Tribolium castaneum: one gene and its partner. The protein of the gene in region 1 purifies or fractionates together with the protein of each later gene. This does not show direct contact. Links are inferred from orthologs where the notes say so. Each region holds a gene or a part of one and is shown on either strand. Other genes may lie near its edges. The genes, in order: Atac1 and transcriptional adapter 2-alpha.

Region 1 (15,257 bases):
AGCTTGAAAAAGCAGGTATTTGTTAGTGTTTAAAAAAACTTCTCCTCCTGTCATGAGCTTTGGAAGCGCTGAAGTGTGTTTATGAGTTGGACGATTACGTTGTTCTTCGGTCAAAATAAACAATGACGTGGAGAGCTTTAATGAAAAGCCATTTGTTCGCTGTCTGTTTAAGATACGCTTATCGGAACCTGATAACGTTTTATCAAGGGCACCAATGAGCTTTTTTAACCTATTAATTATAACTTTGCAACTTTCGTTCGCAAAATGGAATTTAATTTGAATGTAAGATGAGGGCTCAAAGAGAGAAGGAAACTTGAAAGGCGGTATACCTGTTGTGAAATTTTTACAGAAAATTTAATATTCGTTTTTACTCAATATTGCCTAGATGCTTCACAAATTAACTCTAGACGAGAATTTAATAAAATATGGAGTAAAAATAGATCTCTACTGCGTTAATTAGTCCACTAACTAATTTTTCAGCAAAAAAATCCATTTCTGAGTCAATTTTATCATTAATTAAATCAACAGTTATGAAAGCAAAACATCTAAATTGTACTTGTGAGTCGATTAAAAATCTTGTTGTGATAATGTTGTAGGTCGAGCGAGTCGGCAACATTTTAAGTTTTAATTTGAAAAGTTCGGTTCGAAATTTAACTTTCAATATTTGATCAAAGAAACCACGAATCCTGGCATTCGATTGTAATGCTACAAAATGATAAAACAGAATTCGATAAATAATGAATATGTTTCCCACATTTCACAACTCGATAAATTTGCGAAATTGGCAATCGTCTGGATTTAAACAGGTGTTAAATAATAAATTTCATGTTTCGTGCGCTGATTTATGTCGTGGCTTTTATAATTTAAAAATTCCTCCCTTGCAGGTATATATTTTAAAATTTACGTCGGTTAATATTTACCCACTGGGTAATACTAGAGCACGTTTACAATAAATCGCCCGTAAAACGAAAATATTGAGGCATTTATTTATTCGCAAGTAAATTCCAAGCGTCAATTTATTCGGACCTGTTAAAGGCAAAGGAAACTTCAAGCGAAATTAGAACACGATGAAACAAGAAATTCGCGACTTTGTGGGATTTGTTTCTGAGGAGATATTTCATAAATTTTGAGACGCTGTGCTCCCATAGGACGTGAACAATGTCTTTTCGATGGAAAGCAATAAAACAAATGGTTTCCGCATGTCAACTTCCAGCCTACACAAACATCTATAAAGAGAGATATATTCATATTTAACAGGCAGATTATCGGGAAAGGGGCCCTAATCGAGGTTTAGAGACCTCGTTAAATTTTTATAAGACAAAAATAGCGCGCGCGCTACGGAAGGTTTTATCATTGTAATAAACATTTAAAAATACCCACACGAAAACTAAATTTTGATAAAACTGTTAATAATCTCGAACGAAAGATAATTAATATAATAACATGAGATCGAAAATAAACTGAATTGGAGCAGGCCATGCCTGCGGAATTTTAGCCTCATGTCAAAAATTGACAGATAAGCCTACATTGTAGAATGCTGTTTTAACAACTGAAAAAATAAATTGGTGAATGATGCCTAGCAGAATTTCGGAAGAAACTTCTCCAAGAATTTTTTAAACGTTTATTTACTAAGTGTCTTCCACTGTCATCTGCAACAAAAATAGTTTGCAGATACTATCATTTGGTCTAATTTGTGATAAAAACAATAATTTACAGAATCAAATAAACTATTCTTATTATTAAAAAACCTCACCGAGAATATTAATTTTTGAATTGTTAATGATAATGATACAAAAGATAATTAATAGTTGGTCACTTGTCATAGACAGGATAATAAACCCCGTTCCCCCATTGATTAAAATTCATTTTTCTATTGTTGCCGTCGTATTGTCAGTGACACGTTTTTATTAATTACTTTTCTCGAACCGAAATAATTAAATTATTTATCAGTCAGCAAAAGTCGTGTGTTTCTATCACCCTTGAGCGAATCGTCTCGAGGTGAATTCGTCAGAGACTTATCGAAGCAAACAAATTGTTCCAGGTTGGGCAATAGCGGCAGAAGAGCGTGATTGGAAGTATAGATTATCGATTTATTATGTGAAGCCCCAAGACTCCGGTACGTTCACTTGCGCCACTCCTAGAGGAATCACCAACAGTCTCACTCTGCAAGTTGCAGGTGAGGATTTTTTTTATTATGCAGAACTTTTATTTTTTGTAATTTAGCCGTTCATTGTGACCCCATCTCTGTGTCGGGCCCCCATCTCACCATAAGGGTGGAAGGAACCCGTCTTGGACACACTGCCATCTTCCAATGTCCAATGGGATTCAAAGTTAATGGTGCAGCTAATCTCACCTGTCAGGCTTCGGGTGAGTCGTGTTTGACAAGCACTACTTATGGTTTCAATCCTCAACCGAACGAGGATTTCGCGGGTCTCATGAGAGGCTTTCCAATGTCCGAAATGTCGGAGTGAAATCATATTCGTGGGGAATTTAGATTCGCTTGAAAAAACCGCCATTTCAGAAATAAACCGCCTACTTAAGTAATTTTGAATTAGTTTTTATTTGGTTGGTTATTGACAAAATCTCCGACATTATCTCTGCCGTCCCACGTAATAAACCGAAACGGCAAACATTTATTTCTTTATGCCGTTTTATGTGTAATGCTATATATTTTTTTATGTTTATATTTATTCTTTTTTCTCAGTACTACTCCTAAAATGTTTGATATAAAAAAATGTTGTATTTTTTACGAGGATGAGTTTTATACGCAACTGTTTGTAATTGAGGACCGGAACGAAATTCAAATTTGTTTGTTTTCAAATCTAATTAAATGAACTTACATGTTTAATTATAAAATTGGTTGTTGTAATTACTATAAAATGAGCAAATTGGGTTTATGGCTGAGATAATTGACAAGAAACACTCATACCATGATTAAGTATGCAATAATTGGCATAAACGACTGTTTTCCAATTAAAATTTAAACTAAAATATACTGTGTGACAATAATGGCTTAAAAACTTAATATTTGGTGTCAAAAAATTTATTTTTGGAAAGATTAAAATTCATAAAACATTACTCCTGAATCTTATCACGTCTTATTTAAAAAAAGTTTCGTTAAAAACAAGCCGAAAGTCACCAAATTGAATTCAGAGCGAAAAATGAATGAATTGTGACCACGAAAATTATATTAAAAGTTGTTGAATAAATTGGATACGAGACACAGGAATATTTTTAATTTATTTGCTCTAGTTAGTTAAGAGAATTTCACAAAAGTGTTTTATCCACTTTTCTCATAAAACTCTAAAATAACTAACCCCTTCTTTGTAACTTTTGTCTGAAGTTATCTCTCCCTTATTTCCCGTTGCATTTTACCCCCAGATGCACGTTTTGCATACAAAAGAATATATCTCATAATCAAGCTCCAACTTTACAACCCGAGTACATCAACAAATCGCGACGTTCTAAACCCCAGAATCGTGACTATGTTCACAAACGATTTAAAAATGATGGATACTAATAAACTGCTAAGCAAATAATAGCCATTTTCAAGTAAAATGTCGTACATAGCTTAGTATTAAAATAAAATTTGTTAGACAAAATAATAGAAATGTTAGGTAATTAAATTACGTTTTGATAGGTAAAATAATCTAACTGTTAAATGGTAATGAATTCTTTAATAGGGTTTGCTAAGAAAAAAATAATAATGCGCTAAAAATCAATTGTCAAATTGTTTCTACGTTGGCTTCGTTCCTATGGCAATGTCGCAGGGTTCCAACATAATTTCAAAATTTTTGACATTGACAATTGATTTAAAAAAACAGTGAGGTATAAAATAACCTATAGCATTTAAATTTTTCCAATCAGGCAAATGGTCAGCCCCTGTTCCAACATGCGAGCTCGTAAAATGCGAATCATTAGACACCCCCGGCGGCCTCTACGAGCCCCATTTGCACCTCGAAGAGCACAACAACAGTTACGGAGGCCGTGCTATCTTCAGCTGTGCCTGGGGCTACCGCCTCATGGGGCCCCCAGGCATCGAATGCGAACTGAACGGTAACTGGTCGGGGCCTTTGCCCAAATGCGTCCGTAAGTAACCGCCAAAATTTCGAAAACCAAAATTGATTTATTAAATTTAACCCAGCTATTCAATGCCCGCCCCCGGTGATTCCCGTCAACGGCCACCTCATCCAGTCGGAGGCGGCGGGCATGGACGGGGGCCGCTATGCCGTGGGCAGTTTAGTACAGTTTGCCTGCAGGGGGGCCCACCAGCTGGAGGGCGAAGCCAGCATTATTTGTACCGAGACTGGGTTTTGGTCGCACCCGCCCCCTTTCTGCAAACCGCGGTGCCCCTATTTGGGGGAGCCCGACAATGGGCTGGTGGCCCCCACGAAGTTTGCCTACGAGCCTGGAGATGAGCTCCAGATCACCTGCAGTCCGGGGTTTGAGGCCAGGTTGGAGGCAAGGCCTAAGTGTCTCCCAGATGGGAGGTGGTCGGCCCCCTTACCCAACTGCACCAATTATTCGGAGATTTAATAAGATATTAAGCGTTGAATGTTTGTGATAATGATGATGGGAGAAACATCGTTGATTTTATGACTCGTAATTAAGTATTTTTCGGTTATTTTTTACCAAAAAAGTTGTTACACATGATGATCTCATGCCGAATACAAATTTTTATCAAATTGTAGATATTTCTAGCGATAGTGAATGTATTTACAACGAAATTTATGTACCATGTAATTGATTGGTTTTTTATGTAAATAAATTCAAAAACTGCCTTAAGGTAGTCAATTTATATTCATCTGTAAAAGTTTATGTAATAAATTTATATTGTCAATAAAACGTACAACTGATTGCGAACACTTTTCAATGACGAACGCTTATGGTCAAAAAAAAGTCATCAAGTTGATTTAACTCGAGTCGTAAGAGAAGACCAAACAAAAAATTACAATTTTCCGCTGAAGTAATTTTGTAAATGACTAACTGTTAATAAAGAGGTCGTCAAATGGTGCGTATACACTTTGCCCTCGGTATTTTTTGTTCTCACATGTGGAAAAACTGGGGAAATTAATTAAACCGGACGTTTTCAGTCCGTATTCACTAACACAAAAATAAGTAACCAATTAATTAAGCCAGGATTAATGAACAGTATTTTGTGTTGTTGTTTAAAAGAAGTCTTTATCTTGGTTGATGCACTCAAATAATTAATTCATTCTGTTTCAAACCTTGAGCAAAAACTGCTAATGTCATAATTATTTGTCTCTTTGTATTGGTGGCTTTTCTTTCTTACTTTTGTCAGTGGGATCCACAAAAATAACGGAAAATTCTATTAGATTTTTTTTAAATTTAAAATAAATCGTAGAATTCGCTGAAACAAATTGCTTCGCCCTACGACTTTTAGTTCTAGAGTTATGATTTTTTTTTAGTGAAAAACTAAAAATACCTCTGAAAAAACTTAGTGAGTGAGAAGAAAATAAGCCCAAAAAATCACATTTATGGAATTTTCTGACAAAATTTCTACCATTGTTTTGTTTTTCGTTAGGGACATTTAATAGGTTGGTATCGCGTTGCCCGGCCTACTTTTCCATTTTCGAGTCTTGTTTCATCAAACTCTCGGAGAAAAGCATCGGAACAAGGCAAAAATAAAAGTTCAGACATAATTTGGCCCTTTATCAGCTCTGTTTTCTCGATAAAAATGCAATAATACCAAAAATTGCTAACCTTATAGGTAGCGTCTCCCTCGCTTTTGAACCGGTCCTCCAGCGTTTCTTGGAATTCGTTTCCAGCCGGCAACCGATGATGTCATCTCGTCAGATTTCCAATAGAAAACTTTGATTTCAGTCAATTTGGCACTAATTACGCGAAAAACACTTTTTTAACAACACATAAAAGCAAAAACTTAACGACGCGCTTGTGAAAAAAGTGCGTCCCCACTAGACCACCGCGTGACATCAAGTCAGGACATCTCATTGGTTGGTTCGTCGAGACGTCAAATCGAGAGGCGCGCGATTTCAAATTTGCGTGCTCTCTACATTTGAGGTTCATTTTCGACTTTTTGCTCCAATAACCGAATTTCACAAACGAGCAATTTCGTTTAAATTATTTTTTTTCACCATTCGATAAATAATTTGAAGCACATTCGGATGCCCCTTTTAATTTTTGCCTTATTAGGCTTCAAGATAAAATGTTCGTTAATGGTTTTGGGGAATTGGAAAAAGAAAAAATAATAGTTGTTTCAAAAATTTTATTCAAAATAAACTCTACACTTGAATATTAAAACACGTAGTCCATGCTTTGGCATTCACTTGTTTAAGGATAGCCCTTAGGGACGTGCCTGGGCCACACTCAAACGTCCTTGGGAAATAATCCCCTTGACTCCTCTCATAAACAACATGAAGAAGTTGTTCCCACTTTACAGGTTTAACAATCTGGAGAAAGAAAAACTCAAAACACGAAAAAAAAAACACTTCTAAATTACCTGTTTCGGCAATTGTTTTTTGATCTGCGCTGCGTCTTTGTACTTTTTCCCGTCAACATTTGAATAAACACTAATTACAGGATTGCTCACTTCTGATTTATTTAATGCCTTTCGAAACGGTTCAACCGCTGGTAACATTAAATTGGAATGGAAAGCTCCACTAACCGCAAGTCTTTTAACTTTACGTAAATTTAATTCTTTGGCATTTTTTTCCAAATAATCAAGCGCCTACAATTAACTGCATAACAACTACAAAAATGAAGAAAAAAAATTACAGATTCGCTCCCCGAGATGACTTTACAATGGGGGTACAAATAATTGGCAATTTGACATTCGGGCATTAAGTCGCCTTTATCAGTTGCCCATTCCTTGGCTTTGACTAGTGCCTGGTTTAACTTCGTGTCAGGACCGTACATTACTGTGACCATCCCCCCCTTGTACGCCTCACTAGCCAATTGCATTGCTTCCCCCCGAATTTGCACCAATCGTAACCCTTAAAAAATTCCAAATAAAATTCAATTTTTTGCCAACTGGTTGTAAAATAAACCTCGCTCAAAACCAATCGCCCCCGCAAACACTAACGCTGTAATTTCCCCCAAACTGAACCCTGCTGTCCCCACACAACTCTCAATAGCCCTAGGTCTCTCCTCTTTCAGTCGTTCAATTGCCGCTAAAGAACTGACCATTATTGCCGGTTGACTATATTTTGTTTGGTCCAATTTGTCTTTGGGACCCTCAAGACACAATTTTAACAAATCGTACTTTAAAATATAATTCGCTAACTCAAACAAATCCCTAGCCATGGGGTACTTGAGCAAGTCATTGCACATACCGACAAATTGGCTCCCCTGACCGGGAAATAAAATTATCGAGGACTCGCGTGGATCATATTTAGGTTTTTCGATAAATGAGACACCCTGTTTGCGAATTTTGGTGCCTTGAGGGTATGGCAAAGTAGCCCATTGTTGTTCTTGTGTCTGGGGGTGCAAGTCTTCAAAGGTTGCTGATTCGTCGAGGAGTTTCTTTAGGGGAGATTCTTGCGTTTTTTTCTCATCACAGTTACGATTTGAGGACAGGGAGAAGGGGCGAAGCCCTACCAAAACACGATCGCAGTCTTTCAGAAAATTTCGTGTAATAATTTTAGTAAACATCATGGTATAATTAAACTGTTAATCAAGCAAAACACACAAAACTAATTCAAATAAAAACACATTTTAATGATTCAACTTAACCTCGAATGTCAAGTTGCGACCATATGACCGATTGTTCGCCCAATCTAAACTTTAATCCAAGACGCCAAATTTATCACCACTGATGCAAACTACTCTACTTGAGCTAGCTTTAAGGAAAATTAACGAAAATGAAGATCGGACGGAACCACTTTCGTAAATTTGGTCTTGTTTAAGGTTGTCAAAAGTAAGGTTACAGGTCAGCTGTCAATTTCACGTGTGTAGTGTTTATTTCTTGTATTTTTTTGTAAATTAAGTTATACGAGAGTGAATTGTGTAATATCTAGTCAATTTTTTACAAACAAAATGACAAATACGCAAGAATCGGACATAAATCCTGAAGAAGATTTGTACTATTTCGAAACGGATCACTTGGCTTTGAGAGGAAATAAGGACTATAGTGAGGTTCTTAAAAACTTGCTCATTCTGTGTGCTCAGAGAAAACAAGCAATAAAGGTAAAGTTGTGTGAATTTAGTTACGTTTCGATTAAAAAAGTCTTCAGGACTATAACAAAGCAGTAGAATTGAAGAAAGAAGCACTGGCAGACCCGGCCAAAGTCTTGGAGAAAATTATAAAAGGGGAGTCTTTGGGAATGCCAGATATGCACCGCATGCCTGAAGTAATTACAATTTTTTTGAGATTTTTTTCACCTAATTACATTAGAGAACAAAATATAATTTTTAATAAAGCAAGGAATATTTTGTTCATTTGGTGCATTTTAGTTGCCGGTTATTGACTGGTCAAAGTACGATATTAAAATCCCGGAGGAAAGTTTCAAATTGATTTATTCAGACGGTTCTGAGACTGTTAAGAAAAAACCCGAAACGCCGAAAAAAGAAACGAAAATTTCACATGGGGTAACACATTTTGTAAAATCGGTTCAAATAAAATTGCTTGATTCTATAGAAATGGACAACAGAAGAGCAGAAACGTTTAGAAGAATTGCTCCAAATTTATCCGCCTGAACCGGTTGAAATGAGACGGTTTAAAAAAATCGCTGATGCTTTAGGTAATTAATTAGGCGAAAAATATTAAAACTTGGTTAAATTTTCTTAGGTAATCGAACAATTCAGCAAGTCACGAGCCGAATTCAGAAATATTTTGTGAAATTGTACAAAGCTGGATTGCCAATTCCTGGCCGAATTCCAAAATCTGCCGAAAAACACAAAGTGAATTTACATTATTTTAAGGCACCAAAAAATTATTTTTTTGTAGAGAACGTCATTACATAAGCACCAGCGTCACAATCATTATTTATGGAAACCTACAACTTTTTTCCCCGATTTATGTGTTCCTGTAGTAATGAATGACTTGGATAATGTTCCTGGACCTAGTTCGAAAATTACAGATGAGATACAGCCTTCTACAAGTTCCAATTATCTCATACCTTCGGTTTATCACCAGGAGAGTGAGATTTTGCCCCAAAAAAGTGACAGTGAGTTACAGCTGGAACTTTTAAAACGGATACGAAAAGTTAAAATTAGGGAGAATGAGAGTGGGTCTAATTTCCAACACGTGGGATTTAAAGTAAAAAATAATAATAATTTAGCCAATTTTTTGGTGATTTATTTTCTTATAGTGTGATTATTGCAACGATGAACCAATAATTGGCACCAGATGGCATTGTAACACTTGCAAAAATGACTCAATTGATTTTTGTACAGACTGTGTTTTAACACAAATTTATTCCGATAATAGCCACCCTTTAAACCACAATTTAATCGCATGTGGTGATAGAGAAATTGAAAGTGATTCAGAGTCAAATAGTGGCAGTTTGGATCAAAATAACGAATCAAGTGATGAAGAAATGAGCGATATTTCGGATAATGTCAAGGACCAAGTGATGGCAAACGGAATGGACGAAAGCGAGAAAATTGATAATAAAAATCAAAGTGAAGAAATGCCAAAGTTGGAGTTTGGTAATTATGGTAATGACGAGTTTGTGGACGGACTTGGGTCCGATTTGTTCAGCGAAATTGAAAATCTTTCATACGATTATTTGCACTCGAATTTGTTGCTTGATAAGGATTGAACGTTTTGTTGTTGAAGATTTTATTTATTTATTGCCTTTGTTTGTATGTAAATTTGTGATTGCAATGAAAAGTTTTTTTATATGTTAGCTTTTCGTTTAACCCTTCAGAGCTCTCCTGAAAATCGACGTGATAACGTAACAAAAATCAATGAATAAAACTTTGTTTACAGCTTTGCAAAAATTAGTTACCTTTTTGTTGATCATTTATCTTAATTCTTACATAACTTTTTTAATATTATTCAGTGCGTGTTGTGAATTTTTGCGTGCTTTTAATACGCATTTATTGAAAGTGTTTTTTTTGGTCAAATATTTCGAATTTTCAGAGTTTACTCATAATTTTTTGTAAATAATGCATTCTAGACCTGATTAAGTGATTTCCTCCGTTGTTTTTACAAATTTCCTAAAATTTATTGATTTTTTTAGACTTAATTCTACAATTTTTTACCTATAGTTTAAGCAAAATCTTTCCAGTTTTTTTTTAAATTCCATTGAAAAACAGTTTTAAACAAAATTCTACAAGTTGAATTTAATTTATTCACTGCAACTAATTTATTTAACGTATCACTGACAACTTGACTACACTTATTATTTCATTGAGCGGTCTTTATTCAGTAAAATAAAATATGTATTTAACGTTCTTATCTGTCAAAAGAATAATAAATCATTTATGATGTTTTTATCGTTTCTTATCGTAAAAATACATTTCCGTTTATATTTCATTTTATTACAACTGCAATTATAAATTACATAACATCTCAATAAATAATTTCTTATGTAGCATTTGGATTATCGGGTGGCACAGCCGCGAATAAAATCTGAATAAAACGTGTAAACTTTCCTAAAAATTGCAACAATTAGTAAATTACCCCACAAAAAATTGTAAACCTCATACTCATCAACAATTCCGGTGTTCGCTTCTTGTAAACAAACCAATAATAAACCAAAACCCCCACCAAAATAAACGCCAAAGCGAGCAAATATTTCGGAGTTGGATCCGTAATAATGGGCGTAACACTCAAATAAATAGCTACCAATAAAACGAAAACACAAATCCATGTAGGCACCTGAAAAAAATCATTAAACCAAACCGAAAAAAAGATTTTATATGTACTTTGTAGGGTCGAGGAGCATCTTTCATAGTCCTCCTTAAGACAAGTAACGAGACAAAAGCCAGCCCGTAGAATATCCAAATGAGGAAACTAACAAATTCGATCAGTTCAACAATATCCCCAGCTACGATAAAAAGGAGCGATAAAATCCCCTGAGAAACGACAGCGAATGACGGAGTTAGACGTTCATGATGAACGAAGGAAAGACTTTTGATCATTAGGCCGTCCTGTCCTGCCACATAACACACCCTTAAATTATTTAATTCGTTAAAAGACACACAAAATTAATTTTTTGGTACCTAGTGACCCCAAATTGTATACTTAGGGCACATCCAAACGTAGCTAACGCCACTCCTAGTGGTATCAAAAACGCCAAAGGGCCTAAAACCCTTTCACCGAAAGTTACAGCAACAGCAGGCGAATTTATCATCTCAGGTATCGATAATGCGGTCATGTATGCCATGTTCATAAAGACATACAAACCGGTGACTATGGGAACACTTATCATTATGCTCCTCGGGATGTTTCTGCAATTATTCAGTCACGTTTTTGTTCAGGAATTAAAAATTACTCACACTTCAGGTCGTTTGATCTCTTCAGTGATTACAGTGACCGCAGACCTGTAAAAAATGGTGAGTGTGTGCCATTTCCAGGCCTGGTTTTTACAATTACAATTACCATCCGTCATAAGCCCAAAGTCCGCTATAAAAGGCCAAAGCGATGCTTTTCGGTGTGTACTTTGTGCCTTCGAAGCCCCGGTTTAAATTGTCAGTGTTGCCTTTGATGATTTCGTAAAGGCCGCCAAAAATCACCACCAAACAGGCGAATACTTTAAATCCGCCGAAAATGTTCTGCACTTTGACGTAGAGTTTCACGCTTGAAACGTTGATGTATGTTATTATACCTACAACGAGTACGATTTCAAACTGAATAGCTATTATCTAGCGTAGTTTCTCAAGTAATATTGGCTTGGTTACAGAGTTACTTTTTTACATATTACTTAGAATTTTCTCTTTACGTTTATTTTATTTTTAGTTATTCTGGGTTTATAAGTTTTTTCCTACCTAGGGCGAGTAAGGCCACCGTTTTGACCGCCTTCTTCACCTCTTCAGAGTCGTCCTGTATGCACATCAGATCTAGCAACGGTTGGCACAAATATTCGGAAAAAGTCAGTATAATAACAGCGACTTCTGCCGGTTTGATTATCACAATCATGACCCAGGAGTAGATGAATGAGGGCAAATGGCCCCAGAATTTGTGCAAGGGGCCAAACGAGTCCATATAGTAGGCGTATTCGGCCCCTGAACGTGGGATAACAGTGCCTAGTTCGGCAAAAGCCAGAGCTCCTAAAATGTTTGTTGGAAAAACATTTTTTTACGAAAAAAAAATACCTAGAAGGGAGATTATTCCGCATACTGTCCATACAACTAGACACATTCCAACTGAACCGGAATGTTCGAGTGCTGAAGCTGGAGAGACGAAAATTCCGGATCCTATCATGACGGCAAGAATTAGATTTATGGCGGAAAAAAGGCCCAATTCGCGCTTGAGTTGGACGCCTTGTTTGGCGTCGCCATTTGTGGCCGCTATGGTCCCTAAAAATTTATCATTAGACACTATTTTCTATTGAAATTTCGTAAAACAGGCTCAAACATTTCCTAATTAAATAATGTTCAAAATTATGTTATTTTCTCGCCTATTTTGATCTGAAAACTTACGTATTCGAAATTATTGTCCGTATCTGAGTGACTTAGCTTTTTTTTAAAGGCGAAAAAAATTAATAAAACATTTTTCTTTGGGTATTATTTATTTAGTTCTATTTTATTTTCAAGCTTTGTAAAATTTACAAACTCTTCGTGGATGCGCACGCACAGCCCCAGTTACAAGGTGGTAACAAGGAAGAAGAAAAAGCTCCCCTATAAAGAACGCTGTCTCTTCTCTGCTAACTGTCCTAAGGTTCAGACATGTTATGTGTTATGTTCATAACTATTAACGCCTTATTATTATAACATTATTAAAATCGGATTAAAAAAACTGACCTTTGGACATGCAATTATATTGTTAGGATTCTGCCCTGTTTTTAAGGTATATTAAAAACGTTAAAATTTTGAGGCACGAAGTAGAAACAGCATTTCTATTGACTACTGGGAAAATAAATAACTATAAACTTCACTATAATATAATATTGGTGTTATGGACTAATTTAAAAGTTCTGGTTTAGGATATTACTGTGAAGTTTTTGCTTGGAAGTTCATCAGGAACTCCATTTTCTCAATTGTTACCATTTTTCTTTTCATTAACAAAAACTGGAACTGACAAAGTTTTTGTATTTCTTCAGTTCAAAAAATAAAAGCAGAAAATAATCTAAACTCAAGTTTTTTTATACTGTTTCAGTCAGTTTAATAAATACTCTCTTAAATCAAAATCACTTGCAATCGTGGATTTCTAGATTAAACCACTCTTATGTTTGTTTACCAATTTACACAGGACAGTACACTGACTTCTTGACATTAAATTATTTAATGTCGAGTTTAATGTTATTGTTAAAAATTTTTAAATAAAAATATAATAGTAAATATTTTATTAAGCCGTACAATAATTTTTTGCACTTCTTAATATTAGTTAATTTATTAATCATTTAATAAATTTTAATTCGAAGGAATTGTAGAAAAATTCTGAAAAAATTCACAAACATAGAGAAAAATATAATAGCAAACTCTGAATTATGTGCGTCATTAGTTTTTCATATATATCTACTAAAAATATAATTTTTGTAGATTCACTCCGCATAAAAATTTTAAAAAATTTGTTTTTCTCCGTTATATTAGAGGTTTCCATAATAAACTTTGAAACCATCACCGGCATAGTATGCTTATATCTATTAATCTGTTAGTTATTTATTATCTATTACTCTATCTTTTAAATACGTACCGACTAGTAATTTTTATTGGTCTGTAAAGGCGAAAAATGTCTGTTTTTCTCTGTTAATTTTACATAATAATGTCCATTATTCTTATCTATTAAATATACGGGATGAGTCTACTAAGTACATAATGACGTCATCGACTCTTTTTCGTTTTTTTTTACAGATCCAATAAAATAATACAAAAGGTGATAAAAAAAATCATGTCTGACATTTCTCTAGCGACAAGCTTGAGGCATTAGATCACAGAACAACGTCAAAAATGCCATTATTTTTGCAAGTTCTGAGGATTTAAACAAGTTTTTAGACCAAAAATCAAGTTTTTCTTCCTGTTTTTATTAAACTCGAACAAAAAAATGACTTTATTGTCACTCGTATCGTATTTTTATTTGTTACATTTTGCTCTAAACATTTTGTAAATAAGCAATAATAAGGTATAATCAAATAGGATCATGAGCATATGATTACAACGTAAATTACGGGTAAATGCTGTTTACTCGATTTGGTAATCAACAATTTTAAGAACATTTAAATTGTTTGGCAGCCTAATTGTTAATTTGAGTGCTATGTACAAAATTATGAGTGCATCTCAATACAAAAACCAATTCTCACCGTAAAATTTAAAGAATTTTTGTTTTAGAGGCTGCATTTTTTGCGGAAGGTGTAAATTATGACATAATCATAGCCTATTGTCCTGGAAAATGTAACACCCCCTTGTTTCCACGGCAACCTGACGCATGCGGAAAATGGGGAAAGTCAATTTTCATGCTCATTAAAATACAAGGTGTTCCAAATTAGAATTACGTTCAGGTTTTTTTTTCATTTATAATTATTGTTAATTAAGCCACCCTTTGCCACAAGTGTTATTTTTCGTTACACAATAAGTTTAGATAAATCTTACGTATTACAGTACATAATCAATCATCTAAGAGTGTAATAAACACTTATCGATAAAATGCATGCAATAAAACACTAAACTTTCCACAAAATAACAAAAAATTTCAACTTACCGGTCATTTTTAATGAAATTACACTTGAAAAACGAAAAATTGAAATTACTGCATTGCTTTAATACTGAAGAAGTGTGTGGTGTGCGTTCACCAGATTCGAATAAACTATTGTGAGCACTGACAACCGTTCATTCACATTAATTTTAAATTACAGATATCGAAATCGTATCAGTAATCTCTTGTTTAGTTTAAAGAGGATAAGAGATAGCAACAATTTCAAGTTGAGCGCTACTACACACTACAACGTCTGAACAAATAAGAAAATTGCTTGTACAATAATGCGTGAAAATTATGACCAATACGCGCACAAATTACTCCAAAAATCTCCGATTTGTAATACATATAGTAATAAAAGCGATAATGTTAATTATGTTGTCTGTTCAATATCGTGTGCAATATCGAAATTTAAACAATGTGGTGATTAGTAAACAAATACTGATGACTCCTATAAACATCTGATGTTAAGCAATGG
Region 2 (15,724 bases), on another chromosome or scaffold:
CTTGAAAAAGGCGAAACAGTTTTTTACCGCCAAAATACAATTTCGGAAATAAATGCATTTCTGACTAAAATAAATACTTAGAAGACAAAAATAATCCTTTAGTCTGATAAAATTTTGCGAAAAATACATTTTTTGTCAAAAAACGTGCTTTAGAATTGAAAAATGTCAAAAATTCATCCTGATTTTTTATTATTTCTAAGAAAATTTCGTATTTTAAGCCAAAAATTTGTTGAAAAAAGAGCAAACCAACATTATTTTCGACGCAAATTAATAAAAACGCCCCAACAGTTGAAAAAAATAACACCTTTTGCTCAATATGTTTTTGAAAATGTGCGAAAATCTTGCGTTTTTGTGCTTAAACGCTTGATAAGAATCTGGTTTGATAATTTTCGACAAAAAATGCAGAAATAATTAAACAAAATTAACGATTTTTCCAGTAGTCTGACTATAAAAGGTAAGTAGGCAATTTTAAAAAAAGTGCCAAAAAAAGCAAAAATCGGGTAATTATTGACTTAATATGACAATTTTTGACTCACATGCTTTCTTATCTTCAAATGTGTGGTCAATAATTGCTCGGAATAATTCCCACACTCGCTTTTATACGGCAAAGACTCAATAAACCCCAAAAATTTGAGCAAAATCCGCAACGGCTTAACACATGAAAAGTACGATTTTGTCGTCACTAAATTCACACTATTCTTATCTATTTAATTAAAACCACAAAAATCATACAAAAAAAACACCTAAAAATAGATTTTTTTCGGAAAAAAGAATCGAGTTGGACTTCCATTCTGTAAAAAATATCTTGCAACAAATTGTAAATTGTAATAGAAACAAGAGTTTATCATAAAGGAAACGATTTTAGTATAGTTTTTATAAAAACAGGTAATGTATTTTATTTTGGAACACCCGTATACAAATTGAAATATTTTAGAATAGTCCTTATTGTCAGACATATCGTTTAAAAAAATAATAAAGTTGATATCCTGCATAGAAAAAAAGGTTTATGGAGCTTGCACGCACTCCTGGGTTACCCTGTATGTATAACTAATTAATTACTTCCTGTAGCCTGCAAGCACCAGCTTCGAATTTAAAACTTCCTAATTTATTTATTACATTTACCCGAGCATTTATAAAATTTTGTAAATTACAAATTTTTCTAAGCATTCTCACAACAAAAAGTGTGCGATAATAATCTTCAACAGCCTCAGTTTTTTAAAGCCGTCTTCAAATCTTTAATGCACATGTAGATTTTATTAAATGATAAAAAAATAACTTTCTTAAGTTTTTTTTAGCTTAGCATCATTGCAAAAATGTTGCCGAGAGAGCACACAGAATTTCATGATTTCCTGAAGATTTCCTCTGCAGTTTACCCCTCGGAAACCGCACCCCAAATTTTATACACCAGATTTCCTTACGATTTCCTACAATTCCTTCATAGTTCCCTAGGATTTTGCCTACTTTTTTAAAATGATTTCTCGTGATTTTTTCTGGGGCTTAGCCTTCAGAATTTCTTGAATCTAAATCAATTTATGCGTTCGATTTGTAACACACTCAATTTATTTATGTTGAAGGCTGGAAATCGTGCCGCCTGGGCACCGTGATCATCCGCAGCGCCTCCTCGCAGCGCTCCGTCGTGCTCGTGGACGAGCACGGCTGCCGCAACCCCACAATCCGCTCCATCTGCCCCCAACACCCCCAACAAACCGGCCCCTTATCCGTCCAATTCCCATTCCGCGCCTTCTTATTCCAAGGCGCCGCCCCCGCCGACGACCTCCTGCTTTCAGTGCGGATGTCGGCCTGCCTCCGCCCCCGAGACTGCCAAACCCGCCTCTGCGAAGAAGGCACCCGGATTCGGCGATCAACCGCCAATTTTTCCGTCGACTGGGAATCCCAGATTCAATTCCGGGTACTTCCCCCCGATTCGCCCCACTCGCCCAATGGGCACAAATGGGCCGTTCTGGGTCTGGGCGTCGTCGTCGTGGTGCTAGGCTGTGGCTTCGTAGGGTTAATGGTCAAGAGAGTTTGATACAATGTAGATGTCAATAATTAATTGACACTACCGCCATGCGAAAATTGGTTTTTAATCGTTTGTGTTAATTGCTTGTAATTGTTTTGTCGTTGTTGTTAATAAATCGAGACGGAATATGGAGTTTTATTCGATTGGGACGCTAATGGATTTGTCAAGGACAAAGGGTGTTGAAATAAAGATAACAGTAGCAAGGATTGGAGATGCAAATTGGGTTGGAGAAAGCGCAGCGATTTTTATTCACGTTGCATTTTAATTAAGTTGTTTGACGCTAATCTGACACCGGAAACGACCAAAATAATCAACACAATAAAAGTTATCAAGAGAAACCCAATTACACAGATAATATTTACCTACAAGCACGATAAAAACCGAGCCGAGATTATTGCAGTTGGTTCTTGGCCAATAAATGATTAAGTTAATGGTAATTGCTTTGTTTTACCGCTTATTTGTGACTCAGGCTGTTTTTTTTAACAGAAAACTTAATCACATTACGTGGTCATTTCGCCAGTTTCATCTGTAAATGTTTACACTTACACGCTTACTAAATAATTGGCGCAGTCAGTAGGATTCGCAAAATTATTGCAAAATTTGTACGTCTTTAAGAAATAATATTTGATTATCGTATTTAGTTAGACGATAATATTTAATTAGAATACATTTTTTCACTCAGTTTGCACTAGTTTATCAAACACAAACAAAAACCCGCATAAATTGGTACTAAGAGCTTGAGATATGAAGTCAGGACTTTTCAACAGAAAACTTAATCACAATACGTAATCATTTCGCTAGTTTCATCTGTAAATCTTTACACTTACACGCTTACTAAAAAATTGGCGCAGTCAGTAGGATTCGCAAAATTATTGCAAAATTTGTACGTCTTTAAGAAATACTATTTGATTATCGTATTTAGTTAGACGATAATATTTAATTAGAATACATTTTTTCACTCAGTTTGCACTAGTTTATCAAACACAAACAAAAACCCGCATAAATTGGTACTAAGATCTTGAGATATGAAGTCAGGACTTTTTAACAGAAAACTTAATCACAATACGTAATCATTTCGCCAGTTTTATCTGTAAATCTTTACACTTACACGCTTACTAAATAATTGGCGCAGTCAGTAGGATTCGCAAAATTATTGCAAAATTTGTACGTCTTTAAGAAATAATATTTGATTATCGTATTTAGTTAGACGATAATATTTAATTAGAATACATTTTTTCACTCAGTTTGCACTAGTTTATCAAACACAAACAAAAACCCGCATAAATTGGTACTAAGATCTTGAGATATGAAGTCAGGACTTTTTAACAGAAAACTTAATCACAATACGTAATCATTTCGCCAGTTTCATCTGTAAATCTTTACACTTACACGCTTACTAAAAAATTGGCGCAGTCAGTAGGATTCGCAAAATTATTGCAAAATTTGTACGTCTTTAAGAAATAATATTTGATTATCTATTTAGTTAGACGATAATATTTAATTAGAATACATTTTTTCACTCAGTTTGCACTAGTTTATCAAACACAAACAAAAACCCGCATAAACTGGTACTAAGATCTTGAGATATGAAGTCAGGACTTTTTAACAGAAAACTTAATCACAATACGTAATCATTTCGCCAGTTTCATCTGTAAATCTTTACACTTACACGCTTACTAAAAAATTGGCGCAGTCAGTAGGATTCGCAAAATTATTGCAAAATTTGTACGTCTTTAAGAAATACTATTTGATTATCGTATTTAGTTAGACGATAATATTTAATTAGAATACATTTTTTCACTCAGTTTGCACTAGTTTATCAAACACAAACAAAAACCCGCATAAACTGGTACTAAGATCTTGAGATATGAAGTCAGGACTTTTTAACAGAAAACTTAATCACAATACGTAATCATTTCGCCAGTTTCATCTGTAAATCTTTACACTTACACGCTTACTAAAAAATTGGCGCAGTCAGTAGGATTCGCAAAATTACTGCAAAATTTGTACGTTTTTAAGAAATAATATTTGATTATCGTATTTAGTTAGACGATAATATTTAATTAGAATACATTTTTTCACTCAGTTTGCACTAGTTTATCAAACACAAACAAAAACCCGCATAAATTGGTACTAAGATCTTGAGATATGAAGTCAGGACTTTTTAACAGAAAACTTAATCACAATACGTAATCATTTCGCCAGTTTCATCTGTAAATCTTTACACTTACACGCTTACTAAAAAATTGGCGCAGTCAGTAGGATTCGCAAAATTATTGCAAAATTTGTACGTCTTTAAGAAATACTATTTGATTATCGTATTTAGTTAGACGATAATATTTAATTAGAATACATTTTTTCACTCAGTTTGCACTAGTTTATCAAACACAAACAAAAACCCGCATAAACTGGTACTAAGATCTTGAGATATGAAGTCAGGACTTTTTAACAGAAAACTTAATCACAATACGTAATCATTTCGCCAGTTTCATCTGTAAATCTTTACACTTACACGCTTACTAAAAAATTGGCGCAGTCAGTAGGATTCGCAAAATTACTGCAAAATTTGTACGTTTTTAAGAAATAATATTTGATTATCGTATTTAGTTAGACGATAATATTTAATTAGAATACATTTTTTCACTCAGTTTGCACTAGTTTATCAAACACAAACAAAAACCCGCATAAATTGGTACTAAGATCTTGGGATATGAATTCAGGACTTCGATGAAAATTATACAGTATTCAAAGAATTTTCATTCATTTTTTTATTCACTTCTCCGTTCCAGAAGCTCTCTTATTTGAAGTGTGTTTACTGAAGTAGTCTACAAGATCGAATTAGTTCAGAATTTAATGGCGTTTTTATTTTATTTTTCCCCAGACACAGCTAAAGATTCTGACTATTTCTTCAATACGTTTTTTAATTCATGTTTTTCCGTATGTAAATTATATTATTGGAAAACGAAACAGAGAAAACCTGACATTAGTTTTTATCGAATAGAGACACAAATGAACTTTACTGTAATTGTTATTAATTTTCCTGTGCACTTGACAATTTACTAATCGAATAATTTGCTCATCAAAGACCTTGGGTAATGAATTTATAATGTTTTAATGGTTTTGTCGCTAAAAAACGCAATTGCTAGACTGGAGTGAGAAGTAGTGAGAACAATGCACATTTGGTAGATTATCTCCTAAATGGAAATTAATAAAAAACTGTTTAAATAATTACAATTCGTATTTTTCCGATTGTCTCACTCATCCAAGACCTTCAACTGTAACCGAATATTTAGCATAAACTTTCGTTCTTCAATCTCCTCACGCACGAGAAAGCAAACTCCTTATCGAACCCATTTGAATAATAGGACACGTCCGTGTCCATTGCCGTTCCCTCGAACATCCCCCCGATAACATTCGAGCACCTGTTGTGCTGTTTGATAACAACACGTAGTGTAAATAAGTGATAAATTCGATTGAACGGTCGGGATTAGGATTGGACCGTCCAAGGCAAGCAAGAGTCGGCACTTGGAGGCCGAGGGGTTTACCTACCTGGAGGAAGCACCAGGACTCCCGCCGCATCACTCAACTCGCACTCACCGATAACGAAACAGCGGAAATTAGCAAAGTTGGGAGCGTGATTGTTACACGATGGAGGCAACATGTGATATGAAATGGTTTTTGGCGCGCCGGTCAAGTCCAATTAAACTTTGCGATGATGCACGACGGAGTCCCTGCCTCAAGGTGGACGTCTCGGGGATTCATTCATTTAAATAAAAGCGATAATGCGAGGTCGCAAACTCTCAATTGAGATAACAGCGGTTTTATCACCTTTTCTACTCATTAAAGTAAATTAATTCGAAGTTATTGCGATTATATTCTATTCAAATCGGTCTAAACATTCCTGTGTACTAAAAATAAGCGGCCTTCGCGTACCTAAATTATAATTGCTTATTAAATAAACTAACCGTCAAATCCAGCAGCGGACTGAGATTTTTGGTACTTTAATAAAGTGCGTTTTTTATATCGCTGAACATTCAATTATTTTACAACGAAACGACCAGTCTAGTCTTAATCTGTTAACACAATGCTGCAATTCAGTGGAAGTCAAGAAATAATCAATTTTGGCTTCGCTCGTATTTCGAAAACGCTACAAATAAAAAATGTAAGAAACAAAGTTGTAAAGAATTTAGTTTCATTCAAAAAATTTAAGAATCCAACTTGAGGCAGTTTATAAACACCAAAAAGTTTCTAAATCGCTGTTTGCTGGCGTAGTTTTCATTCGTAAAGTTGGCATTTTTTATTTTTTTGCAGTTTTCTGATTAATTTTGAATATTTTATTTTATTATACATTACAGCAAAAGATCCTCTGTAAAAATTTTAGAGACGAAATCAGTAAAATAACAGAAACATGGACAAATACCTACCGATAAGAATTTTGTAAAGTTTTTGTTTAGTTTAAAAACATTGTGATGTATATGTTGATATCGACTGCATATTTTCTGCACATTTTATGATTTTACTCAAAAAGGTACATTTTACAAAAAAAATTACAAGGGATAGAAAACTTTCTGAATGGTATGAGTTTTAAGTAAAACAAAAGTCATATTAATTTGTGCTGCAAAGTTATGAAGCAATTTTTGGCAAGGGGGCTCTCGTAGCCCGATTTAACAATGTTCTACAACCTTACAATTTGCACTATTAAATGATTATCTATAATAACGACTGTATACCAAATTTTATAAAAATTGGATAAGCAATTTTAAAGATAAAAACTATAATCTGTACTTCTGGGGTAACTTTTGCCCCCATAATTATGGAATTATTAGCCTAAATAATTCCATAATAAAACTTTTTAGAAGGACATACTACATTGTTACTTCTTTGACCAGAACATTTGGCGTCTTAAAAGTCAAGGTTGAATCTCACAAATCTAGCGGCTTTCTCAAAAGTAAACAATGAAAAAAGGCCCAAAACCCTGCAAAAAGCAAAGCCAAAAAAATTGGGCACATGAAAAAAACAGGGTAGTGCCCTACAAATTTAGTGTTTTCCCAATAATAAACATCCGAAAAAGAAAATTTTGATAATAATGCGTTCAAAGGAAAGAAATACATCCAAAACCCATTATTTTTGGCAATACTTCAACGAAAACGTAATTTTTTTTATCGAAATAAATCAACAAAATTTGAGGCACTTGAGGTGAGTTGTTGCCAATTTTACCAATAATTTTTTTATTTATAGGGAAGTATTAAAAAAAAGACGTTTAAAAAAAACAAGGTTTATTTATTGACTGCTTTCAAATTTAAACCAAGAGGAAAACAACCATTCACGGTATTCCCACTGAATTGTGAATGAGTCCAAAAATTCAAGTGATTGGTTTCTAACTTCATTATAATGGCTGACCATAAATTGACCAATCATATCCAAAACCACAATTTTCAATGAATCAAAAAATCCAAACTGATTGGTTTTTCTCCGTAATTTTAATGGCCGACCTCAAACGGCCCAATCAAAATGCTTACACATTTTACAACAGTCACTACGTGCCCTACGTTAATTCACAAAATGATGATTAATGAGTCTGTCTTTGTTTTTGTTGCATCTCACATCTTCAGTTTTTCTCTGAATTCTACCCCCCTAGGTAATGTTGGGCACAAAAATTGGGACAATGAGAGGAAATAAATAAGAAATATTGAATTGAAACGCTTTTATATTAATCAAAAAGATTCAACCAGTGAATTCTTGAATGACATGTTAAAAATCAAAGCGCATGCGCGCGCACTTTTTCAATTTGACAATTAACATTTAAAAAATCCAACAAAGAAGACGAAAAGTTCGAGGAAACTGTCCCACGTTATTAAAAGTACGGAAGGGGGTCATGGAGTAGGTAAATGTTGTTTTCAAAACGGCGCTGATGTTTTTTTGCAATAAGTGTTTGTGTCCACATTGGCGCTGGATGCTCCTAACATCAACAAATGAAGAAATCGTATCTAATATCCACTTCAGGGCAAAACACATGCAAAATTATTATTTGGTTTTGCTTTTGTGAGTATTTTTGACTTATGGTGATCAGGCCTTTCAAAAGGTGTTATCATTCAAAAAATTTTTGACGAGATTTGTAGATTGCAAACTCTTTTTGACTTATTTTTTAACATTCCATGTTTATCACTTTTGTGCCGCAGTAAATAAGTAAATACGGCACTACCTAAATCCAAATCAAACTACAACCCCTACACTCATATAACGTATTATTTATTTACAACTCAAATATTTTTACTTTTTTCCTCCCACTCTAGCCACCCCCCGGAATAATTCTTTATATCTTTGAACCCCAACTTCGTCGCAATCTCGGACGCAAGGGCACTACGTTTCCCCGAACGACACGAAAAAATTAAGGGGGTGCTAGAATCAGGTTTAGCCTTTTTGTAAGTTTTTTGAAATTGTTCAGAAGGCATGTCTTTTAACACTTTCTCGACTTCGCCAAGTGGAATATTGATGCTGTCAGGAATAACTCCGGTTTCCTGCAATTCGTGGGGCTCCCTGACATCGATTAGAAGAGTCTTAGGAGTCGTTTTTACTGACTTGACTTCATCAAATGAGGCGATTTGCGTTGCGAAAAGTCTAAGAAAGACGGGCGTTTTGTTCACAAGGGAGAGGATTTGGGGCCCCCTTGATAGCGACATTGGTAACCTAACCTAAAAAATAATTATGTAATTAACTTAATTGATTAGTTTTTGTAAAGTGAACTACCATAGCGCCAATAAAGCGATTTTTACTATTTTTTATCGCCTGTTTTATTAAATTACGACAGTTTTGGCAAAAATCAGTTTGGAGACTTTTTACAGTCACCGTTGGTATCACACAATTCACACAAAACAAATTAGAGGTCCCGTGGCTACAATCAAATTTTCCCCAATTATTTTTTTTTTCACGTTTTATGCCGATTGCGTTCGAATTACATAATAATTTCATAAATAATCGTCAAAAAACACCGCACTAGTAAAGTGCTAGTGCTTTAAATTTTGCCAGGTAGGCAGCGCTTGCCGCTCACATAACCTATGCACATAACCTAAGTTTTTGTGGTATCCAAACAGTTTTCGAAAAAATGGCAAACGCAAACACCGACTTAACCGAAGAAGACGCCGCTGACTTGCAGTTTCCCAAAGGTGAGCCCCCTTGTTTACTTCTCGTTCTCAACTGAGGTTTCAGACTGTGGCCCCCCTGCGTTTTACTCTAGTGACTCTGATAGTGTTTGTTCGAATTGTTCGTGCGATTTGGTCGCGCCTTACATTTATTGCGCTTTGTGTAAAGTGAATATTTGTTCGCTGTGTTTTTCGAAAGGTGCGGAGTTTGGGGGGCACAAGAACGATCACGATTATCACATAATCCGCGACGATTTTCCGGTTTGGGGTAACACGGACTGGACGGCTCGGGAGGAGGTGGTGTTGTTAGAGTCGTTACAAAAATACGGGAACTGGAATTTAGTGGCGAAAGAGTTCCCAAATCGGAGTGTGAGGGAGATTAGGGCGCACTACGATTGGTTTTATTTAGACAGAAAGGGGTCCAAAGACTTGCCCGAGGCGAGCAAAAGGGACTGGTTTTGTGAGCCGGTGGTGCCCTACAGACAGCGGATTAGCGACACCGATGAGCCCCCTCGCTACTCCCCCAACACAGTGGGGTACAAGTCTTTGGCCGGTTATAACCCCGCGAGGTCCGATTTCGAATGCGAGTTCGATTCGTCGGCTGAGGATCTGCTCTCGAACCTTAAACCGGTTGATAAGGACGATCCTCATTTTGACTTGATCACAAATCTTCAATGTGCGATCATTCAGAGTTATAACCGGCGGTTGAGGGAGCGCCAAAGGTGGAAAAAAATCATAAGAGAACACGGATTGATTATTCTGCGGAAAGTTTACGCTTGGCTTCATCGGTATGACGTTACGATTACACGTCCTGTGTATGAAAAACTGATCCGATTTATGCAATTTTGTACTCCTGTCCAGTTCGAAATGTTGATGGAGGGGTTACACCACAGCGGCGAACTCAAAATACAAATTCTTAGGTTCATATCAAACGGTTGAATTAATATAAAGTTGGTTATTTTCCATAATAGCGGCTTATTGAGTTCCAAAAAAACACGACGGAGAAAAAAATGTTCACTAAAGATTAATAAAAACAAAGAAAAATGTTAAAACATACTTCAACAGTTAGTGGCGTGACGAAAAATAATACAATTTGTATTTTGGAAAAAAAAACACTTGTAAAATTCGATGAAAAATTCTCAAACTCTTCAATATTCACGGAATTTTACAAAACATTGTGTTCAACTCGTAAGTTTTTTCCAGAAAGAATTCACTTTTTCTATCTCGTTGCACAAATAGCTATTTACAATGGAACCGTTTTGGTTTAAAAAAATCTCGCGAAAAAAGTTATATCACTCGCTAAATGCAGAATTAACATTTTTTTCAAACAAATCGGCGCTTCAACACTCGAAAAAGCAAATATAATGCTAATTTCGTTCTAATCGCAATTTTTTTGGCTTCTTTTTGAGCAAATGTTGCGAAATAAATGTGTTTTTATGGATGAACGTGGTAATAAATCTCATAAATAGTAAAATATTGTCATCTTCGAGCAGATTTTTTAAGCAAGTTTAGCAAAATTTCAGTAAAAATTGCGTTTTACCTTAAAAAAACGAGCTTTAAAATATGATAGTTAAGAATATAATTACATATATATTTAATTATTTTATTTATTTATATAATATATAATTGTTATTATTATTTATATTTTATTATATTAAATATAATTAAAAATATAATATAATAATAACAATTTGGTGATTACGTTTTTTGAAGAAATGCTAAACTTTCGAAAAAGGCAGAGTAATTAAATTAAATTTCTCGTTCAAAAAAGGAACTTAATTGAGCAAAGTAAACTAAAATAACCCCAATTTAGATTTAATTCTGTGAATTTCTAGCTAGAGAATTTTTAAACACTTTAATTTTTACCTTAAAACATGTATAAAGGCTCACAAAAAGCTGCAACATAGCATTAATTTTGGTCTTTAAAAATCTTCGGCTTGCAAAAGCAAAAGTTTTGACTTAATTTTGTGATTTTTTTGAGTAACATCTTTTTTTGATTGATTGACAAAACTCCTCATTTTTTGGCCAAGAAAAACGATCGACTTTTGTGTTATCTCCTCCTGGTTTATGCTTTTATGTCATTTTTAAACACAATTTAAAAAAAAATGCTAAAACACGTGAAATTGCAAAGTAATGTTTTTTGGCGAAATATCACAAAATAAGAATTTTCTAATTATGTTGTAATATTTTAGACGTGTTTTGGCAAGATTATCCAAACTAAATAAGTAGTAAATTTACCAATCCAAAGTAAACAACAACAATTTCGATTTAATTTGTGGATTTTCAGTTAGTTTTTGCAATTTTTTTTATTTTAAAACATGCCCAAAGATACGAAAACGACAACATTAACACAATTTTTGGTGTAATTGTAAGGTTAATAAAAATATATGAAAGAGAATTTTTAGCTAAAAACGAACTAAAAGGCTTTGAAGAATTTTTGACAGACAAAATTCTTCAAATAGCTGTAGCCTGACGAACAAGAAAAACGTTTGACTTAGTTTTGTGATATTATTGGTATTTCGTTCTAACAAAATCTTGCAAAAACGAAGTTACTTTACACATATTTCGGCAATTTTTTGAGAAATTTTTGCAAAGCTCGCAAAATAAATATTCTTTTATCTGGTTGAAAACCTTGGTTAAACATGAGACATAGCAAATAGTGCTACATTCGATCCAGTTCTCAATTTTGAAGAATTTTTTAAAATAAATAACTTTCTGGGAGAAAAACGTAGTAAAAAATTTAAAAAACAGGATAATAACATCGTTTTCGACTGAATTATGTGTTTTTTCAAGCACGTTTTCCTTCAGGAAAATTGCATTTTTTACCTCAAATTTATTTTCAACTGAAATACAAAAATTTAGCTATAAGTAATTTAGTGTTTTAATGACCACGGTTTTTGAAGAAATACTAAAACGAGACAAAAAATAATGAATTTCGATTTTTTTACGATCAAAATCTTGCGAACTAAATAAATCTCTAGTTCAAAAAGTGTAAAGACTATAATTTTACATTTAAAACATGCTTAAACAACTGGAAAGTCAACTATAACATCATTTAAAAAACGAGCTAAAGAAATTAAACAAGTAAACAAACAAAATAATATATTTTCGTTTTATGTTTACGACTTTTAAGTATGTTTTGACGAGATCTTGCCAAGCAAATAAATCTTTAAAAACGAACTAAACCAAGCAAAACAAGCTAAAATAACAAATTCGCTCTGATTTGGTATTTTTGTATGCGCAAACTTTTTAGGTCACTAATCAGTTAATTACCAAAGTGATTGCATGGTATGGATTCCATATCTATATGGGACATTGATTTTTTTGGAAAACATCAATAAGTCGCTTTTATGGAGATAAAAGCGCCCAATTTTATAGGGGGGTTTTGCAGATTGTGTGAATTACGTCAACGCGGAATAACGTCACTCGCCGACGCCCGACTTTACGTTAAATTGAAAGAAATTCACGACAAGTGCGAAAACGAACTGAAGACGCTCCACGCCAGCGCGCAGTTTAACTGGAAGTTGACCAACCGGAGCTTTCCGGTGGAAACTCCGAAGAAAAAATCCGGGTTTACTCCGATTGAAATCATCGGCATGCCCGGTTACGAAAAACTGACTCCTTCTGAGAGGGAGTTGTGCCGTACTGTACGACTGGTACCCATCACTTATCTCGAGCTCAAAGACATTCTTATAACTGAAAACAAGAAGATGGGTTCTATTAAACTCAAAACGGCGAGAAAAATACTCAAAATTGATGTGAATAAGACTAGGCGTTTGTACGATTTTTTAGTACAGGAGGGTTACATTGTCAAACCTGTGTCTTAGTTTTCTCAAATATACTTTCGGTTGTGAATGTTTGGTTTTATTTCTTCTTTACAGAGTTTGAGAATGCGGAAACTTTGCTCATTTCGGAAGTCCACATGTTGTTGGAGCACAGGAAGGCGCAGAACGAGTCGGCGGAAGATGAGCAAGAGTTTTCCGATGTTTTCATGAAGACTCTTACTTACACGGATAGGTTTAGGAAATTTAAAAATAAGGAAACGATCTCAGCCGTCAGAAAGTAATTTTTTCATTAAATTTTGGGTTTTTTATGTTTAATTGTTTGATAGTTTGTTGATGCAGAAAAAGTTGCACAAGTTCGAATTAGCAGCCATTGCTAATCTGTGTCCTGAAACCACTGAAGAGGCAAAGTCTTTGATTCCCAGCTTGGAAGGACGATTCGAAGACGAGGAGTTGCAAGCCGTCTTGGACGACATCCAAACTAAACGCAGTATACAATACTAGAAGTTTTTATAGTTGTAGAAAAAATACAGTTTGTAATTTGGGAGCATTTTTTTACTACAGGAGGCATAATTTCGTCATAATATGTATTTATATTGGGTTTTAATAAAAATTTGCTAATTTTTTGTGTTGTTTTTTTACCAAAAAAAACTACAAGATTTTTTTATGGGTGTATTATTTCTTCTTTTGTTTAAATTCGGAGAACTATTTAAACAAAAGACGAAAAAAAAGTAATACCGCAGAGTAAAAATGAGAGCGCGTTGAGCATCTCGGTGCAAAATTGTTTTAAATTATTTTAATTCAACCAGTTTTTAAACGTTTAGAACTTTTTTAGTCACGTCTTCAGATCAAAAAGTTTTTCTTCAAGATTTTATGAAACTAGAACGAAAAAAAATCACCAAATTTGATCAAAAATTTACCTTTAATCACAGGATTACGTCACAAATAACATTATTTTTTCAAGTTCTGAGGATTTGAACACGTTTTTGGACTAAAAATCAAGTTTTTCTTCTTGTTTTTATAAAACTAGAATGAAAAAAACCCAGATTTTGTCAAAAATGAGCAAAAATATACTTTTTCTAAGTGGTTATTTAGCAAAATCTCAATTATTTCGCAAAATTTATTAAAGAGTAAGTCAGTAATTCACAGGATTATGTCAAAAATGACATTGTTTTGCAAGTTCTGAAGATTTAAACACATTTTTAGATCAAACATTCATTCATTTTTTTTCCTGTTTTTATTAAACTGGAACCAAAAATTTACCTTTTGTAATCGTTCACTTAGCAAAAACTCAATTATTTCGCAAAATTTCTTAAACAGTAAGCCAAGAACTGACAGGATTATGTTAAAAATGGCATTATTTTTTAAAGTTCTGGGGATTTAAACACGTTTTTAGACCAAAAATCAGTTTTTTTTTTCTCCATTTTTATTAGACAAGAAAATTTTGTAGAACTTTGTAAAAGTGAAATAACCTAAAAAATTAAATAATTCTAGCTTTTTTTGGCTACTACTTGTACAAATGCTTTAACTATTAAAAGAAAAATATTGGAGGAATAAAGGTTTGACAATTTTTTAGGATTCGTTCAGTTTCTGACATTATTTAAAAAAAAGTATTATCTTCAAAGCAAAAATCAAAAAATGATTAATTCATTTTTATTAATCTTCCGGATTTTTATGTAAAAATTATAACACCAGAGCCTTATTAATTATTTTACATTATAAATATTTAATGCCGAAAAAAAGCTATTTAAATATGTCCAATTTTGTCGATTTTTTGAATTATTTTTGATGAAATGCGATAAGAAGGTCCTAAGTTTTTGACGAAAAATGATTTTTAAATTTAATAAAATTGTTTGCTTAAAAACTGCCTTTTTCATCTGAAAAACTCTAACAATTTAAGAATTGTTCTGTTACCAAACATTTTTTTAATAGTTATAAAAAATACAGTATTTAATTTGGGAGTAAATTTTGCGTTTTAATGAAAAACTGCTAATTCTTTGTGTTGTTTTTTTAATAAAAAACTCCAAGGATTTTTTTATTTGAATAATTGCTGAATATTTGCAAGATCCTCATTTGCCACAAAATACGTTTGCAAAATACGCATAATATTGTCGTTAGCTTGAAAAAAATGTGTAAAATTTCCAATTTCAAAAAAAACTTCTGCAGTGATTCCAAAAAAATTTCTTCGAAATTCTAGTAAATTCGTATTCCTTCATTCCAACTTATTTGTTTTATTTCTTTCTAAATTATTTTAGAAAAGAAGAAATTCAACGTAATTTTCATTCCAAGTAATCGTATAATAATGGTATATATTTTTTTAGCTATGGTTATACAATATGTATGTTCAGTATATAGCGTGTGTTATTTTCGATAACACTGGTTTGCAAAATTTTACTATTTGTCTGTTGCCGCTAATTTAAGAGTTGAATCCTAAGTTGATTCTTTCTACTTTTGAGCGTAAATTTCAAATTTGCCATCATCACGAGTTTCTAGTGATAATATGAGTTACAACTTATATTTCAAAAAAATAAAGCAGATGGGAAAAATCTGTTGGCAGTTGTGAAATCAGTGTTCAACAAGTACTCAACAACAGCAAAAAATATGAAGCAACAGTCAGTCAGTCAGTAAATATGCATTTTCAGTAATCAGCATCCAGTAATCATTCAGCAATAGCAAAAAAATCATCTGACACAAAAATATTCTGTAAACTTAAGTAATTCCATAATTAATAATTCTAAAAAGACACCAGTAATTAAAAAAAAGAACTTACATATGACACCAGG

Evidence for each region.
Region 2: the proteins of Atac1 (region 1) and transcriptional adapter 2-alpha purify together in Drosophila melanogaster (affinity purification with mass spectrometry; 4 studies listed by BioGRID, with this or other methods). This does not show direct contact. The link is inferred for Tribolium castaneum from reciprocal best matches to the Drosophila melanogaster genes Atac1 and Ada2a.

Annotation. Positions count from the first base shown.
Region 1 is NC_087394.1:37,099,193-37,114,449, reverse strand, and holds Atac1 (ZZ-type zinc finger-containing protein 3), read left to right. Parts: upstream 1-7,831; 5' UTR 7,832-8,016; coding exon 8,017-8,166; intron 8,167-8,213; coding exon 8,214-8,330; intron 8,331-8,433; coding exon 8,434-8,568; intron 8,569-8,617; coding exon 8,618-8,720; intron 8,721-8,767; coding exon 8,768-8,880; intron 8,881-8,926; coding exon 8,927-9,238; intron 9,239-9,290; coding exon 9,291-9,743; 3' UTR 9,744-9,821; downstream 9,822-15,257. Other genes in the region: hig (locomotion-related protein Hikaru genki), read left to right, coding at 2,042-2,176, 2,224-2,367, 3,868-4,089, 4,145-4,536; beg (probable malonyl-CoA-acyl carrier protein transacylase, mitochondrial), read right to left, coding at 6,264-6,431, 6,482-6,709, 6,757-6,974, 7,029-7,635; b(0,+)-type amino acid transporter 1, read right to left, coding at 10,514-10,581, 10,636-10,807, 10,855-11,101, 11,152-11,379, 11,428-11,472, 11,531-11,756, 11,917-12,198, 12,244-12,447 and 1 more.
Region 2 is NC_087398.1:11,840,639-11,856,362, reverse strand, and holds transcriptional adapter 2-alpha, read left to right. Parts: upstream 1-9,041; 5' UTR 9,042-9,122; coding exon 9,123-9,183; intron 9,184-9,226; coding exon 9,227-10,079; intron 10,080-12,550; coding exon 12,551-12,986; 3' UTR 12,987-13,014; downstream 13,015-15,724. Other genes in the region: uncharacterized protein LOC655123, read left to right, coding at 1,575-2,029; rhodanese domain-containing protein CG4456, read right to left, coding at 8,281-8,712, 8,768-8,770. UniProt on the Drosophila melanogaster protein: Component of the histone acetyltransferase (HAT) complex ATAC; predominantly involved in acetylation of histone H4, including at Lys-6 (H4K5ac) and Lys-13 (H4K12ac).